2 linked regions of the Neodiprion lecontei genome follow. The protein of the gene in region 2 purifies or fractionates together with the protein of the main gene of each other region. This does not show direct contact. Links are inferred from orthologs where the notes say so. Each region holds a gene or a part of one and is shown on either strand. Other genes may lie near its edges.

The links.
Region 1: the proteins of syntaxin-18 (region 2) and vesicle-trafficking protein SEC22b purify together in Homo sapiens (affinity purification with mass spectrometry; 5 studies listed by BioGRID and IntAct, counting the BioPlex papers as one, with this or other methods). This does not show direct contact. The link is inferred for Neodiprion lecontei from reciprocal best matches to the Homo sapiens genes STX18 and SEC22B.

Annotation. Positions count from the first base shown.
Region 1 is NC_060262.1:28,171,689-28,182,795, reverse strand, and holds the start of vesicle-trafficking protein SEC22b, read right to left. Parts: upstream 6,598-11,107; 5' UTR 6,485-6,597; intron 6,402-6,484; 5' UTR 6,230-6,401; coding exon 6,155-6,229; intron 5,679-6,154; coding exon 5,569-5,678; intron 5,395-5,568; coding exon 5,234-5,394; intron 5,142-5,233; coding exon 4,995-5,141; intron 4,884-4,994; coding exon 4,735-4,883; 3' UTR 4,728-4,734; exon of another isoform or gene 3,498-4,727; coding exon of another isoform or gene 3,307-3,497; intron 3,000-3,306; coding exon of another isoform or gene 2,875-2,999; intron 2,790-2,874; coding exon of another isoform or gene 2,589-2,789; intron 2,498-2,588; coding exon of another isoform or gene 2,319-2,497; intron 2,149-2,318; coding exon of another isoform or gene 2,057-2,148; intron 1,970-2,056; coding exon of another isoform or gene 1,788-1,969; intron 1,665-1,787; coding exon of another isoform or gene 1,645-1,664; exon of another isoform or gene 1,303-1,644; intron 1-1,302. Other genes in the region: box C/D snoRNA protein 1, read left to right, coding at 1,645-1,664, 1,788-1,969, 2,057-2,148, 2,319-2,497, 2,589-2,789, 2,875-2,999, 3,307-3,497; uncharacterized protein LOC107223481, read left to right, coding at 7,923-7,928, 8,015-10,408, 11,004-11,107. UniProt on the Homo sapiens protein: SNARE involved in targeting and fusion of ER-derived transport vesicles with the Golgi complex as well as Golgi-derived retrograde transport vesicles with the ER.
Region 2 is NC_060265.1:18,619,839-18,629,744, forward strand, and holds syntaxin-18, read right to left. Parts: upstream 7,355-9,906; 5' UTR 6,970-7,354; coding exon 6,010-6,969; 3' UTR 5,263-6,009; downstream 1-5,262. Other genes in the region: uncharacterized protein LOC107220043, read left to right, coding at 322-4,032, 4,119-4,341, 4,531-4,718; coatomer subunit epsilon, read left to right, coding at 7,632-7,736, 8,279-8,767, 8,946-9,254. UniProt on the Homo sapiens protein: Syntaxin that may be involved in targeting and fusion of Golgi-derived retrograde transport vesicles with the ER.

The DNA of each region.
Region 1 (11,107 bases), on a different chromosome or scaffold from region 2:
CTGCGGAAATTTTTAAGATATGTTAAATCGAGTATCGCGAAGAACAAATTCATCCACACCGGATCGGATCACAAAATGGAACACAATTCTCGCTACTCTTCACCGGTGACGGAGAGAGTGGACACTTTGATGTCTTACAGAACCAAAATAAAATTCAGATAGTGAGTAATAAGTATGAAAAGTAACAATCAAATAATAGTAAATCTAAATATATCACCGAACAGTCAAAAGGACAGCCAGGATTTACGATGACAATGGAGAAAGGAGGAGTTTCAAGCAGCAGACAAGGCGATGAAGATGGTGGATGGTCGGAAATATCACAAAAGAAAGAGGAAAATAAAATTGTAAGTGCGAAGAACCAAATAAGCCATAGAATAATATCCACCAAATATTCGTATAACCAGGAAAGAGGACGACCAGGATCGATGTTGACCACAAGAGAAAGAGGTGTTTTGCGGAATGAACATCAACGCAAATATAGAGAAAAAAATAATATAAAGAAGGTGATTTTGGAGAATAACGGGCAGAGCGGTAGCAAAATTAATTCAGCAAGTCAAGGAGATAGACAGATATCAATAGAGAAGGAACACCAATTTTCAACCAACGAATGGAAGCTTAGATTGATGAAAAAAAGAAAAGTAAGCACAGAAGGAATTGAAGTGGACAGCAAGTGCAGGACCTGTCATTAAATCAACATGAAGGAATTCGCCTGTCTACTAGACAATGCGTAAGGAAATAGTGAGGCGCGAAGCGCCGAACAACGAGGCGCGCAGCGCCGAGTGCCCGAGGCGCGTAGCGCCGAGATGGGGTTGGCGCGCGAAGCGCGCAGGGGCGAAGCCCCTAGTGAATATATAAAAATAATACATGATTATAGAGTAATGAACAAAGTTATTTTATTCGGTAATATTTATTGTAATCGAATAAAAGCAATTACCACGTATAGTGCTGAGGTGAAATCAGGTTTATTTTTTCCCACGAATCAAAATAAATAATTTAATGGCTTTTTAATTGCAGATACATGCACCTAGTGTATTGTTAGTCAAAGTTATCATTTCATTGATCATCACTTGTTGTAAGAATGATTTTCGTATATAACATTGCAAAAATAGAATATGCAGCAATAAAAAGTAAACAATATTCGCAGTTATGAGTTGAAAATTTATCCACCTGTACAACATGTTGCACAACCAAACGTGCAGGAGCTGAGCTTGTTATAAAGTTTAATCCTTAAAGAAATCTGGAATTATAAACATACTCACCTGGGTTTTTTACAGAAGCTTCTAGAAAATTCACGCTTTTAGTAAATGATCTCAATTACGCGATAATGCTATGCTTCCTCTTGTCTGACAATACGTATATCACCCAAGTTCACACCGATTAAACAAAGAAGAGCCGAATACGTTGACTGAAGAAATTTTCAATGTTTCCCTGGCGATAATAAATCTGTTCGAGGATGCAACAAATAGCTCTGTCTAAATTTTGAATCCAACCACTACAAATCATTCAACAGTCACAACTTATGCGATTGACAATCAATTTGATATTCGCGTTTCACATTTGCAAATGAGAATCGGACTTCGATATTCGCGGATTTTGACGATTCCACTTGATTGTCAACTTGCCGGGGATACCACGTGATTTAAAATGGCGACGTGCAGCGTCAAGTATGTGCTATCCGTAATCTTTTTATCGACAATTATTCATGATGTATTGGAATCATATTGACAAACAAATTCACACTTAACATTTCTGAAATAGTAACGCTAATAATTAAATATTGTAAATAGGTTGGAAGAGTGCGAAGTCTGTGGAGGAAGGAGTGCGAAGTACACGTGTCCTAAATGTGAGGTTAGAACATGCTGTCTGGACTGCGTAAAGATACACAAGAAAGAATTGGATTGTGATGGAATACGCGACAAGACTAAATTCGTACCTCTGAAAGCATTCACAGATCTCGACGTATTGAGCGGTGAGTAAATTAACGCTCATCATACTATTTTTCTGAAGTTGTACTGGATGCCAGTGCATTTACACTTATGTTAATATTATTTGATAGATTATCGATTGCTTGAAGAGGTCGGTAGATCTGTAGATTCATTTCAGAGAGATCCTTCCAAGAAGTATACAAGACTAGGTAATCTGCCAGTGGTGAGTTTAACGCAAGTCAATTATTGATGATGTATATTTAGTTTCAGTCGAGAGTAAGATTCAGTGAACACAGTTTTTGCCAATGAAACTTTCATGTTTGCAACAGATTTGATTTCACAATCAACGATTCAAAATATTTTGTACCTAATCCCACTACCTTAATATTGCAGCATTTGCATAAGTTAAAGACAGCTGTCCATCACAGGAATACAAAATTGGAATTTTTACCTCAAAACTTTAGCAGACATAAAATCAATACAACATATTATAAATGGAAAACAAATGAATTGTTTTGGAGGATTGAATGGATTTTTCCGCAAGCAGAGAATATGAAGCATAATGATAATCGGTAAAGTGTAATTTAATACATTATCCAGAATTGTTTCTAGATAAACGCTAATTTTGTGATTTAGAACGCAATGTTTACTTCAATCTTTCAGTGTCCTGGAAACTGAGAGATTGTCTACGATACTAGGTAGAGTTTTAGATCCTTTGACAATAGAAACCGAAGGTAGTGAGAGTATCGAAGTAATAAATTTGAAGATAGCGTACAGAGAAAAATTACAGTATTACCGAGCAGCTGGTTTTAGCAATATCAAAGTCCTTCTAAAAGCTGAGAAAGTGAAGAGATGTGATTCAAGGTTTGTTTTGCTCTGATTATAGAAAGATTATCGGACTGACACTTTATCGTCTTCGAATATCAATTGACACATTTATTTTTATCAGATTTCACGAGCTGAACCTTACTGAAACACTGAACGAAAATCTGGAGAATAAAACTATCATAGAATTTCCTGTTTTCTATGTGATACTGAAAGATCATTCAGATATGTACGAGATTGTAGACACTGGTGAGTGGTATTATTCAAAAGTAAAGGTGTCAATTTGGCAGACGAGGCTGAAACTAGCAGTCAGAATTAGCAGCCAACCGTTTTAATGTTCATTTGAATAAGGTAGTGAAGTCCAAATAAAAATTTTGTGAAATACCTCGAATCCTCAATACTTTTATAGAATTATGAGCGTAAAACTGAGCTGCATTTGACTATTTTCAAAGAGTTTAACACTTTTGGCTATTAGCTTCAACTTCATATTTCGTAGCTTGAACAATTTATACCACCATATTTGAACTCTATATTGCATTGCACTGAATATCAACAGATGAAGAAGAGGCGTCAACAGAGGCTGAACAAACAAGAGGAAACCTCAAAAGAAAACATACAAATAATCAGAGAGTTAAAAAGAAGAATGAAGGAGTTCCAGTAAACTTTTTCTTTGACAATGATCTAACAGATTCAGAAAATGAAAGTATGGAAATGGTTTCAAAAAATAAAATGTACTCAAATTTATAAAATCGTTAGAAGGTTATCATATCGCTGAGATAACTTGGGGTATTCAAGTATGCACAGCTTCTGAAAATAATAACTTCAACTAATCAATTCTAATTAAAACCGTTGAATTATGTGCAAAACATTTCCGTGAAATTATAGGTAAGAAGTAATAGATTGAAACGCTTCATCTGAGTTACTTTTATGCATTTCCATGCATGACCAAATATTTGGTAGAAATTCAAGCTTTTATTGTAAATAGAACGTTCACTAGAACAGTGTAACCGAATTTGATACAAATACAATAATAATATTATTAATCATGAATACAGGCTACTATATTACACAATTTCCATAGACCCTATGTCTCTTTCAACAATGAGAGCTATTTTTTATGTATGTTTTCCCCAACAATACTTTATACCACGTAAATAATACATAATTTCCTAAGAGTTTTCAATGGGATTGGCTATGCATAATATGTCAAATTCCCATAAAAAACAGATTAGGTTTACTCACTTTGATGGAATTAAAAATAAATTTGATTCGTGTATTCGGAAGTTGAAGCAAAATACGTATGCTTATATTTAAACACGAATATCCATCGAATGAAAATCATTTTGAAAGTGTTACATCACATGAAGAATAGAATTCTATATTCAATCGCCCGTGCGAAAACCTGTAGCAGTATAGATCTTTACAGAAGTAGTTTTGCTGTAAGCAAGTAACATTACATAATAACAGAAACATCTGTTCGTGTAACTTTTCAAAGAGCTCTTAGTACGCAATAATGCCTATGATATTCCTATTGCATTGCAGTTTTCCGATTTTTGTTTCAATTTTTATACATTGAGAAATTTAAATGATTGAATCGTAGATTAATATAAAACTATTGTATCTCTACTCATAGAAGTTCAAAGCTTTGTTTGAGAATTAAAAATGAAAAACAATTTGTTGCCTAACTAAATCACACCTTCCGATTATACAGAAATAAGACTGGAAACTCATCATGGACACAATCGAGGCTCTACTCTGCATATATCATGCCGTTCAAATTCTTTATATCAACTAAACGTCGTATTTTACGCTTGAAGTCAGTATACATAAATATATAATATTTCAGTTTCACTGAATGTGAAACAAAAAGACATTCTCCACAATACACAATGGTCAAAATATTTCGCACGCACGCCCTCTCATAGGTGAAGAATTTATCGATTCCATTTAAATCAATAACACAATAAAAATTCATACTCATCAATTATAGGATGAAAAAGTACAGTAGGAAGACGAGGAATGCAACTATCCCTGCAACTGCCTTTATGTACATTGATTTGCTGTTCAAATGCGTGGCATCCTTTCTGTACTTTTGTGACAACATTGACAAGTTCTGCGTTTTGGTATCTAATTCTGGAAAATGAAGATATTTATCAGAACAATTACAAGTCAGCATGCAATGCCTATAATCGGAGTTGTGTTGAAATGTCGGTTGACAATGTTCAGAATAACCATAGAAATTACCTGAAAGCATAGCTCCTCTCGAAAGAACATCATCGATATTTTGAACCATGATTCTTGTAACATCGTGTAATTGGTTGTTCAGAGCGCTCATATTTCTCCTGGACCGATTATCTGAGAAAGCCTTTTTTGCCTTTTGAATATACGTGTCTGCAAAGGCAATGATTTATATGAAAAAAACATGCCTTGAATATATGAGCTTTGACTAACCGAAGCAAGTCTAAAAGTAAAAGTTCTCTTACCAAATTCAATGAAACTGTAAGGTCTAGTGACGGTGTTGATCTTTTTACCATATTGTGCATCAAACTCTTGTGCAATATCTTCAAGATAGCTGTAAGCTACACGTTTACTGTAATTTCGTTCACACAATACCAAGTAACAAGCTTCTTTTTCGATAAGGTAACTGTAATAGGAAACCAAAAAATTTTCAACTTCCTTCACATTCACATACATTTGAAATTATTAACTTACAGCTTTAAACAATGTGTATTATTGTTTTTTATAATTCATGCATACATTAAATATAATAGAAAAAGAATAACAAAATGACGTAGTAAGATAACATGATCGTTCTTACTGAAATAAATATGGTCCAGTTTCTATCGTGCATCTCAATGGCGATTGTGGCCCAAGTTTCCTGAATAACATTTTGGCTTGATTCTGATATTCCAGAATACTTCTGCCACTCTGTAAGTAAAACATTAAATTTTTTATAATCAACATTGCTACGATATTGATATTAATTTGAACATTTGGATACGGAATCAAGATGATCAAGGTTCAATGCACAATACGTGATTTAGTAAGAATGCGTTGAACGGAGTAAAGAAAGAGCTTTGAAACTCTGCGAAAATGAATAAGAGAAAAGACGTGTGCTTACTGAATTGGATCAGCATATTGTTCTAGGAATAGGAGCAAAAACGAGTGATAAAATTGTATTAAACTAAATGATTGCAACAAGTCATGAATGAACTACGGATTCTTGATAATAATTACAAAGAGTAATGTATCAATAATTAAAATTTTTATTCACTAAAGGGCGAGCGCTTGGCCATTATATGGATAGAATTTTGAGAACAAGACAGGACGATTTGGCAATAAATATGGAAATTAATGAGAAAGTGACATTTCATCATAACAGTCGTTTTTAACAGCAATCTAACCTGTTCATCGTCCCGCATTGTAGCGGCTAGCGGCAGGCCGTCGGCTAACCTCGCGATCATGGTTAATAACACCATTTTTATTGGAATTTATGGAATATCCAGATTTATTCAGATAAAAACAGCAGTCCGTCTACTCATTGAACCTCCAAAAGCCCATTTGTACAGCGCTGGTAACTGATGTGGCCGACATCGGAAAACTCCATTTAGAATTTACCACGTCAGTCGCTGCATGCGCGTCGTTGACTTACTGTAAATTGTTTACCGAAGGTTAATATAACGAATTATTGTTGACAATTGAGCGCTAAAAACTGTTATAATAAATTACGAAACCTCAGATTTATCCAAGTTCCGCAAAACTTGTAATGCAATATTCTTGTGAAAAAAGATGTGAATTTAACAGCCGGCTTACTCGACGCACCAAAATCGTGGTTGTCAACTCATCGGTGAGTCTTTTGCATACCGGATAACCAGGCACTATTAATAACGCAATAAAATTGTCGGCGTGACAAATTTTGCGTGTAGAATCGTTGGTTCGGTATTAAAAAGCCCGCGAGTTACTGATTCGCGTCAGAAGTAGGTATTTTTTAAATTTAATTCAAAGGAAATACGGCGGGTTGAGAACCGTGACACCTTTTACCGCTATCTGTCGGAGAATTGTGCTCAACACCCTGACAATTGTGACCGAGGTATTCCACCTTAACGCCAGTGAACGGAAGAAGTTTGTGACGTGCTTAACCCAGATTTTCCACCGTCAAATGCTCGTGTTTGTACAACAGTTTTCTTAGCATGTTATGGATGTGAAAATGTGCTAAATTTATCGTAAATTCATTTATTACTCAGGTGTTCGTGACAATGTGTGATAGCGCTAGCTGCCAGAACGTTAACTAGGTGAGTAAATGACTTGAGAAAATAATACGATAGTTTGGTATCGTCACAACGAGTTGGTAATATCACAGCTGGGAAGGTATTTTCTGGCTTCCGAGGTCCATATCACCTGTAATTTCCCGACAGGCATTCGCTACTTCGTGTGAAAATCATTGAAATTTACATTGTGTTTCTTGTTATGTAATTATGCGACCGTTTACATTAGTATTGAAACAGATTCTTCACTCACAAGTTGCGGCTTTAAGACTCAATTCTTTTGATTCTGCATATATTTGAAACTTCATCAAGAACAAGTTTGATGTATGGAAGGATTTATAAATCTTTCAAAGTTTAAAGTGTTGTCACTGCAAACGAACCTTTTCTTGGGATGTATCATCGCATGTCTATACTCGTTGTTTTTCTTATCTTTACCAAGGACCTTGACGTCTCTTCCAATTAGTTTAAATAAATTGATAAGCTAATTATGGACAGGATATCCTGTCACCCATTTTTACTCTTCAACAAAACACTTGACATTTCTCATAAATAATACTATACTACAACTGGTCAAGATTGGAATTCAATGAACTCATTCTTGATCGTCATGATGAATAGCAATATTATTTTTGTAATATCATCGAGTGATTAAGAATACAGTGGTTTTGAATGAACGAAAAAAGAAGGCTTAGACTTGCACCTGTGCATCCTTAAATGCTGTTATTTTAAATTATTTGACGATGCCGCAGTTATTTTTCATTTAGCTTGCTAACGGCCTAATTATTTGCTGCAGAAACTCCAAAAATTTACCAGTGGTTTATGTACACCTATTGTCAATATCTTCTGTTTTTTGTTCAGGTTTTAAATATCAAGCTTACGATAAGTGTGGTGTTGGAGCAGAAGTAATATGAACGTAAGTAACACATGGTTTATCGCACTGAACCATCCTACAATGTAACATAACAACTGGAACGAAATTAATTCTAAATTATTTTCCAGAATCCATATCGTGCGAGACCAGCTAGAGCTAGGGTGGATCATGCCGCAGTGTCAGGGTATGGATCTCAGAGTCAAAACACTTGGAGTTCTATGCAGCCTGAGAGACGATCAGGAATTTTGCCAGCGAATGTTTATCAGCAACAGCCCAATTCTCTGATTCAACCTCAGCAGCAGCAGCAGCAGCAGCAGCAACAGCACCAGCCACAACAGCAATCTCATGATCCCTGGGATTGGGGTACCGATAACGGTAATAATGGCAATAGTGATTCGTGGAATTCAAACACTGATCAAAAGTCAGAGTCTCTACATCAGCTTTCTCAGCATCATCAATTTCCTTCTGGCCGCACCAATAATAGTCAAAGTATACAGAATCCACAGCAGGGAATGTATTATCCGAATTTTAACAGAAATAGTAGACCCAATGTACTTAATCAACAGCCTACTTCTGGTGGTAATATTCCACGGACGAGTCTAAGCAGAGAATCTACACCAAGTAATAAAGATGGTTATAATCAATACACGTCTTACGAATATAATCAGCCACCACAACAGCAACAGCAACAACAATATCATTTACCACCTAGGCCTAATTCTAAGTCAAGTCCTGCTGATCATTCGCAATGGTCTATCAGCAGTCAACAGACACCAAATTTACCGTCCCTTGGTAATAATTCAGGTGCTCAGCTGGATAACATCAAAAAAATACAGACTCCTCCACTTCCTCCTCAAACAAATACCTACAATTGGAACAATAGCGACCAACAGTTGGATCCTTCGCTTCGTAACTGGCAAAATCATAATGCCGCGTCAGTCAGTGGGTCCTGGCAAGAACCATCATTGGTAGCAAACAAGCAACAGCCCATAGAAAATATTAATCAGTCTCAACAGGGGCAACAGACTTCTCAAACGTTTGATCCACCTAAGGAATATACTTCGCCAGGACAATCCGAATACTATACTAACTGGAACAGTCAACAACATCAACAGAGTAATTTGACTAATCAATGGCCCTCAAATTATTCACGCAATACTTCAAATGAAGCAACACAGCCTATTCTGCATCAGAATATGGGAACTACGGTTATGAATCAGTGGCAACAGCCAATGTTTCAGCCACCTGTTCCTGCTGAAGAACCAGTAGGCACACAATCCACTCCATCAATACTCAATCAAGCTGATCAAAATGTTCCTTCAAATCAATGGCAACCACGGCAACCTCAATATGAAAATGTAATGCCAAAAGATTGGACCCCTGCACAAAGGCCTGTGGAATTGGTAGCTTCGGAAAAGGATTCAATTTCTGCACCTCATCAACAACATGACTCTCTTGAATCAGCAAAAAATAATAAAAGTATAAACGATTGGCAACATGCTCAGTCTCCTCCGTCACATTTTGCATCATCAACAGGCTCTGCAGTTTCTCATACATCTAACACTGCGGAGCAAATTCTAAGTGGTAACAATCACAATAATGAAAGGAAGAGATCTGTGGGTATATTATCACCGAGTTCCTCGTTTGTAAATGACTTGCCGATACCAACAAAACCTAATGCAATTGAAAAAAAAATTTCGGATGAATCAAATTGGCCTGACGGTGATGTTAATGTAACTTCAAATGCTATGGCTCAAAATAACACCGAGGCAGATTGGTCGACGACTGCGGAATGGAATACTATTCCCACTGCCGAGTTGTCTAGTAGTTTTAGTCATTTACGGCTTTCTAACAAATCTAATAGGCAATTGGAAAATCAGACCCTTTCATCTGATATGCATTCCTCAAGTCACTCTACAGATGGCTGGAGTTCTCAACCTATTTCAGGGTCAGAAAATCCATCAGATAATTCACCACGTGAAAGTGTAGCCAGTGCACAGCCAGAACCCTACCGTGATTCAAGTGAAAGAGCTCATGCTTTAGAGCCTGAACAAAGTTTGGATAATCCACTTACCACATCTCAGTTTGAGCCTCAAGAACATGTATTACCTCAAACACATCAACCTGAGAACAGTAGGGCTGCCGAAACTGTTCCACAAAATGCTGGGTATGATCAATGGTATGCGCAGCGCAATCCTGTGGCTCAATCAGAAAATAGTTGGTATCGCAATGATCATCAGGGTAAATCACAAAAGTGGATGCATGAGCAGAACATTGAAAATTATGAAAACATACAGCAGTCTACTGAGTTTGGCAACTTGGAAGTTGTTACCCCTGTCCTGCAGAAACGGAATATTTATGGATCGCATGATTCCATGAATAGGGAAACATTGGACAATGAACCAAAGGCGAGTGTCAATCAAATAAAAGAATCTAGTACTCCAAGAGACTTTCAAGAAGATATTAACAACGTAGAAGTACCTTCACTACTACAGACGCAACAATCTCTTCAGGTCGAACAGGTAAATTTCCTTTGCACGAATCAAACTGTATCAAATGTTTAGTTGATTAAAAGTGTTGAAAGTTGTATATATGCATCTACACTAACTCGCTTTCACAATGTGAGGATTTTGGTCTGAAACATTTAAAAGAAAGATTAATTGTAAGGGGAGTAAATGTTTCAAAACCCAAGTTTCAAAATTGCATATCTTCTGAATAAAATGTAGATAACACTGTATCAAGGAAAAAAAAAATGAATGCCCAGTATGCATGTATTAGAATATCAATGAAGTTGAAATTTACAATGTTGTCGTAACGAAGCATTACCAAACAAACGATATTTTACAACTTAAAAACTGGTTTACAGGGTTTGTCACTGAAAAATGACTACATTCTGCTTTATATACGATTTACTGCATTAGTAACAACACTAAAATTGTACAACAGCAATTTTAAAAAATATTTCCTTATGTCGACTTTACAAACTTCAACCTCGTGAATCTCGAGTATTGAATTTTTGAAGTAAGACTCTTCACGTAACCAAACCAACAATTTATAACCGTTCTCAGTTTGGTTTAATTTGACCATACATCTCTGTAATATTTATATTAATTGCAGGCCCCTGATAATTACGAGTTCGCATCGAACGATAGAAACACGTTTTTGGAAACTGGTGAACTAACAGATTCTCATCAACAACACGAACCCATTCCACCTAGCCA
Region 2 (9,906 bases):
TGTAATATTTTCCAAATCCTAGTTGCATCAAAGTCTAGGGAAAAGTGGATTGGATTTATTTATACTCAATCAGTATTTTTGGTCCAAATATAATGTATCATATAATTCTGCATGCTTGCCGATCTCCACAAAAAAATTAACGAATCGGAACTGTTTAACGATTTTATTTTGTTATTAATACATCATAAAAAAGAAAACATGATAACTTCTCGATGACTCGTAAGTACTGTAATTGTTTTAACTGTAATTAGAAACAAGAAAGCCTTTGATTGTATATATCATATTTTTTTGTTACAGATTTTTAATTTCAAGTAATAAAAAATGGCTGAAAATCAAGAAAATGACAATCCCGTAGTGGATTCACAAGAAACTTATTATGAGAAAGCGCAAAACATAAGTGGAAGCCAAATGTTGGATGAAAGTCAAGATTTTGCTTTGGTTGTTGCTGAAGATTCAGATGAAAGTACAACATCTCAGTCCCAAATTGTGAAAAATGTTTGCGAAGCTGAAGCTGGTGGAGACTCTGTAGAACAAAAAACTATTCTATCAAAGACAGAAATCATTAATGATAATCCGACAAAACCAGAGATTTTTCATAAGACACAAAATATTTATATCCACGAAAAGAAACTGAGTGAAGAAAAGGATATTCAAGGTTTAAACATGGAGAACGATGCTCATGATTCAAAATGTAATGACAGAAAGGGGAGCGACGAAGAAGAAATTATTCAAGGTACTCCACCTGAAATTTCTTCTCCATCCAGGAAACGTAAGGCTGATTCTTTTGATGAACCAGCAGCTAAAATCCAGCGAACTCTAGCACAAAGAGATGCCTTAAAACTGGATAGAAACATGGGAAATGCAGATACAAAATTAATCTTGAATGAAGTACCTATTGAAGATACACAAAAACCATTAGATATCCTTTCTGAAAATACCGAAAATATTGACGATGCAGAGAAATTAGACCTACGTGCTACTCAAACTTATAAAAATGTAGTTATTGCAGAAACACAAGATTCAGTTGAATCTGAACCAGTTATTTCAAGTGATTTGACTGCTCTGGAAAATATGAGTTCAAATGTTAAATCAGATGAATCTGATGAGAAGAATCCACGTTCTACAGATAAACGTGATTCAGAACTTGATGCAGCTAATAGTAAACCCAATTCATTCGACAGTAATAGTGCTTTGTCAGACAGCGAGAAAGTGGTTCCACAACCTGATGGAAACATGTTGATAGAAGCCTCTGGTGAGACTTCAGAAATGAATACCAATGGAAAAGATGTGCAAGAGACAACTGAAGATGATAAAATGTGCAATACTGATGACAGCTCAAATATTGTGAGTACAGATTTGATTGAGAAAAAGAGTTGCAAAAGTACAAAGTTTAGTGAAAAGGAAGTTAATGTTTCCGACAATGTGGCTAAGGAATTTTTTGACGTGCCTCTGCCAACTAGTGACAGTAACGTAGAATCTACTTGCGATACAGGATCTCATGGTTCAAATAAGTCACGAATGAGCATTGAGGTAATATACGACAGAAAATCTTCGAGCCAAGAGAAAAAAAGGTGTTTAGGCTTGGTGGAAATTGATGAAGAAGGGGAAAAGATTATTTTGGATGATTCAAACGAGGAAAGCCCTAAAAATACAACAATTTATAAGAGCTGCTTGGACAGCAAAACTAACAGTGAATCAAGCTACAAGTCCACAGGTTGTACAGAAGTCCACAAACATAATGATGACAGCCAAATATTAGATTGCCATACATCAAATGATGACGATTTAACTATGAATAGCAACGCAAAGACGGTCAGTTTGGTCAGCGAATCTGATCCATTTGTTGATGATGTAGTGACAGGACTAAATAAAGGTGAGACTTCTGCGTCCATCGCAAGTCACCCAAATACAGAACAAAGTTTTCGATCCAGCCCTAAACTAAATGACACCTTGGAGATGGTGAATGTTGTTACTGACAGTGAAGGAGATAGTCTTTTTGGCAATGTTAATACACAAAAATTATCTGATAACAAAACTGATAATCCATTGAACGCATCATTGGGTATCAAAACAGCAGTAATTGAAAAGAAAACGAGATTCTATGTCGACTTGAAGTACACGTTACACATTGACGAAACTACCAAAGAAATAATTTATAAAGAAGTAACGGATGTACATTGCGAGCCAGTGTTTGAAAATTCGGGTGCTCGAAGAAATAGTGATGTGTCTGGATGTCTAGCTGATATATCTGGGAATGCCAACAAAGATAATTCTCCAGGATCAGTGATGAGCAATCCTCAACTGTTTCAACTTCCCCTATCTAGGCTTTCCATTGCATCAACGATAAGCTCCTCAAGTTCCTTGTCAAGTGCTGCTTCTTTGGCTGCAAAACTACTGAAGAACACCAACTTCTCTGAACCAAAAGGTCGTGCGAAACATGCTAGAAGGCCACCAATGGAAGTGCACTCAGAAGAAAAAATTATTGATGGTTGGAAGAATACTCGCTTAATTTCAGAAGCGCTCTTGCAGTCTGCAAATGCTTTCATTTATTCTCCAGAAAGCTTCCATCTTGATAACGAACCTGGCAAAATTGAAGACAAAGTATTATCATCTACTCCAGAAACAATAGAAGATACAGAAATGCCCCCGCAAGTGTCAACTCCGAAAAGTACAAAGGCTAAAAAACTATTAAAACGGAAACGTACAACTAATGGAACTGCAAAAAGCAATGGTATCAGGAAAGGCTCCCCAGAAATTGTAACTACCAGTCAAGAAGCCAGACTGCACGTTAACAAAAAACGTGAGAGCAACGACAGTGTTCAATCAGATAAGCTATCGAAAGAAATTACAAGTTTATCAACTCCTAGTAGCCTGAGCACAAGAACAGAGACGCTGAGAAGTCTAACTCCACAAAATTTGCCAAATGATGAATTGATAGGCAAAGTCGTATTTGCCAAATGGTCAGACAATACTTACTACCCAGGTGAAGTTATAGGTAAAACTAAAGACAAGTATAGGATAAAGTTTTACGATGGTAAAAGCAAACTTGTGATGGAGGAATTTGTAATACCTATGCCTGAATCATTGAGGGAAGGTTTATCTGTTTATGCTACTAGCAAAGAAGACGGCTACGCATCAATGGGGATAATTTTGAAATCCGAGAACGTTAAAAATATGATATATTATACAGTGGAAATGGACACTGGGGAGAAAATTAGAGTCCAAATCAACGACATATCCTTGATGCCAGGGCAGGCTCAAATTCTGAAGGAAGAGATGGATGTGGCTTTACAAAATCTACCAAAAACTCCGCAGCACTTGGGTCGAGTTAGTCTTGACAACTTAATCGATGGTAAAAGACGATCAAGGCGAGCTGCCACTCCGACTGTGTCGACACCCAAATCAAGGAAAGCCATTTCTCCAAGATCTAACAAAACAACTAAATCCATATCTCCGTCTGGTTCTGGTCTTCCTAAACTTAAAGGAAATAAACAAGCAATATTGACTTCAGAAAGCGAAACCAAAACAAACGAGTCTGATATTTCAGCGACAGATGATGTGGACGGTGTTGAACCTGAACTACCAACAATGCCATCAGTTCCAATATCAAAGGGACCTTCGGATAGAATGAAAGGGAGAGGGCGAGGCAAGTCTAAGCAAATACATGACGATGCCGAACTTGGACCTATACCTCCGGCATCATCGTTAATATTTGAAAATATGTCTTTCATTTTGACCTCCACCTCGTCAGATGTCATTTCACGTCATCATACAGATGATTCGTGTTCGGATCCTGGAACAGAAAATGAAGAGGAATGGCTTAAAACGCCCTTTGTGAAAGATAGGGTGAAAAAACAATTGGTTAACGGGGGAGGAATAGTGTATGATTCCTTTAAACAAATACCACAATCTGAATATAAAAAGGTTAAACTTATCACCAATGTACCAAATTTAACGGCAAAGAGCATACAATGCCTTTCGGTTGGGATTCCAACCTACAGTCACAACTGGGTAATCCAGTGCTGTCGGGATGTAAGTATTACAAGGTCTGTTTATGAAAAATTGTACTTCCAAGTTAGTAGACTTACATTAAACTATATCGCATGTTTCTCCCCTAGAAAAAAACTCTCAAACTTACTCCATACGAATTGCCAGCTGGTTGGAGTGAAGAGAAAAGGAAATACATTGAATCGTACGATCGATTGATCAAACAACCATTTAATGGGATGATAATAGCCTTGCCAGTACTGGATAACAGAAACGTGATCAACCGTACAATTCAATTTTGGCGCAGTATCTGCGAGAATGCCGGTGCTGTAGTTCAAATAATAAACGACCCAGGTAGCTACAATCTAATGCAACTAGAAATATTCTCTTAAAGTACAATTGTTAACATGAACAAGTAAACACTGACAGGCTTATTTTGACTAAACCTGTCGCAAAATGGAATTAATGCACTATAAACTATTAATCATTTGCATAAAAGAGGCATGTCAAACCCAGTTGTGTAAGAATTTCTCTTTTTTACAGAAACCGATTTGTCTCATGTAACCGCAGTACTGACAGATAACAGATGCCCGTCTTGGCTGGTTGAAAAGGCTGATAGTTTGCAAATTCCTTTGGTATCGACAGTTTGGATTGTACAATGCATAATTGTAGGCCAATCTCTCCAATACGATTCTCATCCTAAATATTCCTATAATTTTATGCAGCCCTGAGTGAATTTTAACATGTCCCGATAATTTTTATTATTACCCTGTTTATTTTCATCTACGACATTTTTTTACGACCAACTCAAATGTATTTTAATTGATATCTTCATTATTTTTTTAATTTTACGACAACGATTCATTTATAGTTTCGTAAATTAAATGAACTAAACTAACATATGTGCCAATGTATCAAATGGCAACTCCAGACAATCGAGGAAGAATTTATAGGAATTGTTCCAATATTAATGCAGGATTAATTCATCACGTGATTATTTTTGTGTAATAATCAAGTATGAAAAGGAGAATTTAGTGTTTGGATCAATTGTCATTTTATTTAAAAACAAAAACTAGTTTGTTTTTTTCACTCATAAACTTGACCTAGGGGATGAAATTACATAGATGAAGCGAGCATCAAATTATGAATGAAATATAATATCGATATTTAGGATAGCCATTGAACGAAAGGAATGACGGGAATAGGAATAATAGGACCTGATTTTTAAGGTACAAGGAAAACCTACCTTTGCGTACAACATTTTTTCACAAATAGGGTGGATACTTTGATTATGAAGTCATTTTGATTGCAATCAAAATATACTACCGCATATATTATTTTAATAATTTCGTTTATTGCTATTACGAATTATAAAATACAAATGTTTTATGTACAATTTTTCCAGCATGAAATATATTGACATATTTTGGCAATTCTGATGTTTTTCCATTTGTTTTCTCTGCTTATTTATATCCGTAATTCATTTTACACAAATTTGCGGACTTCAAATATGCGGAATTACCAGTACCTACTATTAATGAATTTTATACTAAATAATTTCCTCAAAGTAGTACACAAGTTTTACATAAAATAATATTCATATTTTTCTACACAAACTATTAACATGTAAAGTTTGACTACCAAAAATTATGAAATTCTAAAATAATTAAGGGGAATAATAAAAAAGTACAAACTGCTACAAAACGAAACATATATCAATGTCTTACTCGACTATCTCATTTTATTATGTATTTTCAGTAAACTTATAAATAGTCATTAGATAAATCACGACTAGTGTATGAAAATTATAAAAGACGAAACCACAGCCACATCCAGTAATATGTGAAAATAATGTTTGGTGACAAAATCTGCACTTCGACGTGTTTAGAAATGACTGAACAGTTTGATCAATTTTATACAGAAACAAGGCTACGTTCTCTTCAATTTGAACAATATTTCGTATCTTATCGGACACTAGAAGTACAAAATGTAAATATCCTTTGACTTAAGTTTAGATTTATTTCAATCGTTATACCAGTCTAAGAATAAAAGTGAAAATGACATAACAATGAGAAAAAATAAAATCCATACTCTCAAACCAGCATTCCTTTGAATGGCTTGACGGATTTGTTCATTGGCTTCTTTGACATTTTCTGTAGATCCAACAACCGTTGTCATTAATCTATCTAAATTTCTATCCTGATCCAATACTTTTTCTGTAAATATTTCCTGCAGTTCAGCAATGTGTACAACTTTGCTCTCGACTTGCTTTACCTCTTCAGTTAACGTATTCAACTCGTTATGCAGCTGAGCATTTTCGGATTCAAGTATTTGAATATCTTCAGCAGTGAGCTCCTCGTCATCAGCCAATAAATTAACATCCCCATTGATTTCCTGGATTTTCATCGGACTCGATTCATTGGAGCTTAGCTGGTCTCGTTCCTCCTGTACTTCAGGTACGCTGAGCGATGATTTAGACAGCTTCAATTTGCTTGTATTTGATTCTAATCTAGCCATCTTCCTCATCTCCATAGCTCTTTTTACTCTGATTGCTTTCTGCTCCGAATATACCTTGCAGACGTTTCGCAAATATTTCTCAATCAATAACAGTACAATTTCCCTGTGTTCCAAATCCTGACGTGCACCATCAAATCCAGCCAATTCTCTTTCAAGATCTTTTATGAGATGAGAACATGTGGTCATGATCTTCTGTGCGCCTAAATCAATTTGGTCTCTTTCAGCTTCGCTCATTTGCGGCAGACTCGTTAAGTGATTGGCAAAATTTAAATACGCCTTTCTATTTTCTAACAAGAAATCTCTCAACTTTGTTATTTGCATTAAAACGTCTCTGGCTTTACCGAAAAACGGAGTTTGCTTCGTGGTTTTTTTTAATGGGGACTTTGTGTCGCTTGGTATACCCAAAGCTTTATTGCGAAGACGTACAGTCTTCACACAGGCTTTAAATAACGCGCTGATGTCCATTTTTGTACTTCTAAACGGTCTAGCCGTAGTTAGTAAACGCAAGGTTATAAAATTCGAATTTATGAAGGAACAATAACTTGATATTGCAGATAAACGCGTCGATCTCGCTTAACGTCCATAACCTAAAAAAGCAATATCACCGACAACGTGGATCGGTCGCCATGTTTGGTCCACAGGTACTACTGACAGCTACTGACACCGAGAGCAGAAACCTTTTCGAAGCTCTTCGAGTTACATTGATCGAAAGAAATTCGACATTCCAATCTATGAATACGGGATTGTAAATTGCGGTACTATCGTTAATTAACACTACATGTTGACTCGATTTATGTACCGTAAAAACATATGTAAGCTGAAATGCGCATTGCAGTGCAGGACGTGGCGCAAACGCACTCTACCCACGTGTTCCAGAGAGCTGTAGACTCTCCGGCCATATATCGGAAGCCGAGTGTCCGATAGTTGGATTTTCATTTAATTTGGTAAATACCTTGCTCGAAAAATTTCATCGACACGACACAGCATAATCCCATTAATAGAAAATCCATATATTGTATAATCGTATTTTGAGCTAGAATCGGTCGCGATAAACAACGATTAGTTTACAAATCGGATTGAAACTGGAACACATTGATGTAACGTGTGATAGGGGCCAGTATAAAAAGATGGCACGTCAGCAGCAGGCCGACGTTGATGAATTATTCGATGTTAAAAATCATTTTTACATCGGTAATTATCAACAATGTATCAACGAAGCCCAAAAAGTAAAGGTATAAACAGTTTTCTAGAATATCTTTCTTAATGTTTCAACAATACTGTTCTTCTGCATGTGTTATTATCAAACTGCCAAGTTGCTGCTACACCGTTGGCGACGTAGACTCCTGTACACTTTATTGAAACACTTCACAAATATTTGTTTTGCACTTGGCCCTAGCTTGGGATATTTCTGTGTTTAAATCTCAAACGAATCTTTCGTATGATATGTATTGCTGAAATCATAATAAACGCGTTGATCATTGAATCATTAACCTAATTCATAGATTGCTATTTGGAAATTCTACGGAACGAAATCTCAAGTTATTGAAATGAAAAATACATATAAATGAGTAATTACTTTCGTAACTATTTCATAACGCGTTGTTAAATATTCTTTTACCTGTTATTTTTTGTTACAGTACCGTATTACTGACGAATGAGATTTATACGCAAACCTAACATAACCTCAATCAGATTATAATTTAAATAACAACCGTATAAACAAAATTGATGAACAAGTGATCACATTTTTACCCTTATTCATCCTTTAATATAGCCATCTACGTCAGAAATAGCTCTGGAACGAGATGTATTTCTGTACCGAGTTTACATAGCACAAAGAAAATTCCGAGTGGTACTGGACGAAATAAATAATTCATCTCCATCAGATCTACAGCCACTGAAAATGCTGGCGGAATACTTTGCCAATTCAAATAGGCGTGAAGCGATCATTGCTGAACTTGACCAAATAGCCAAAAATGCTAATATAGACAATCACAACTTCATGATTGTTGCAGCGACAATTTATTATCATGAAAAGAATTTAGAATCTGCATTAAGAATATTGCGAAATGCGGATAATCTGGAATGCCTCGCTCTTACATTACAAATTTATCTTAAAATGGACCGTCTCGATTTGGCAAGAAAAGAACTTAAAGCAATGCAAGAAAAGGATGACGACGCTACTTTAACCCAATTAGCTCAAGCCTGGCTCAATATAAGTAGCGGAGGTGATAAACTCCAAGATGCATATTATATATTCCAGGTACAGATAACTGCTGATCAGAAGTAGAAATGATGATATTCTCACATTATGGTACTTGGAAAACTTGATCGTAGTCTGATATTTATTGTCTCAAGGTCTAACAATAAGCTTGGACAATAATTTGTCAGAGAAAAACAGATTTTTAGTCTTTCATACTAATTTCTATCACTGATTCCAGGAAATGATTGATAAACATTCAAGCACAAGCATGCTGTTAAATGGTCAAGCGACATGCTTTATTGGACAAGCAAAATATGAAGAGGCAGAATCGGCGTTGCAAGAATCATTGGACAAAGATAGCAACAATCCAGATGCATTGATTAATATGATTGTTCTTTCGCAGCATATGGGGAAGCCACCAGAAGTTGTAAATCGCTACTTGAGTCAGTTGAAGGACTCCCATTTAGACCATCCTTTTGTTAAAGAATATTTGCAAAAAGAAATTGAGTTTCAGAGACTCAAAAAACAATATTCACCATCCGCCTGAGTATACCAACTACGGTACTGGCACTCAATTGGATAATAAAAGTATCGTATTACTTGATGACGTGAAAAGAGTGCTGAATACTAGACAGCAGTGAGCGTTGAGTAAAAATTTCTATTACTTTGACCAAAATATGTATACCGACTGCACATTTAAATTGGGTGAAATTTGAGGCAGTTCTGATGATAAGAATATATAAAGAAAGCCGTAAGATGAGATGATACGATAGATGATAAATTCAGGGTATGGTTGAAAGAATGTTATTCAACAATAAATTAAGGCTAGATAGGTATTTTCATTGGATAAATGTGATTCTGACTATTGTTCAGTGTCACCTGAAACTTGAATTAATTTGTTTTCATGCAAAGGCTGATTTCTGAATCTATGTCTTCGTGCTCAAATACAAAAATATTTTATATTTTTTTCCACATTACATTGAGTTTTGTACAAATCACAAGCGATTTTTACGCCTTTGCCAAACGATACTGCTGTCTGGTTTTTCTTTTGTGAAGAGTAATTGAATTCGGAGAAATTATTTCATATATCAGTGGAACTCAACATTGTAACAACTTTCAGTTCACTAAAGTATGTACGAGTAATTATAAAATTGTTCAACAATTTACAAAATTGATGGAATGAATATTAACGTAAATCA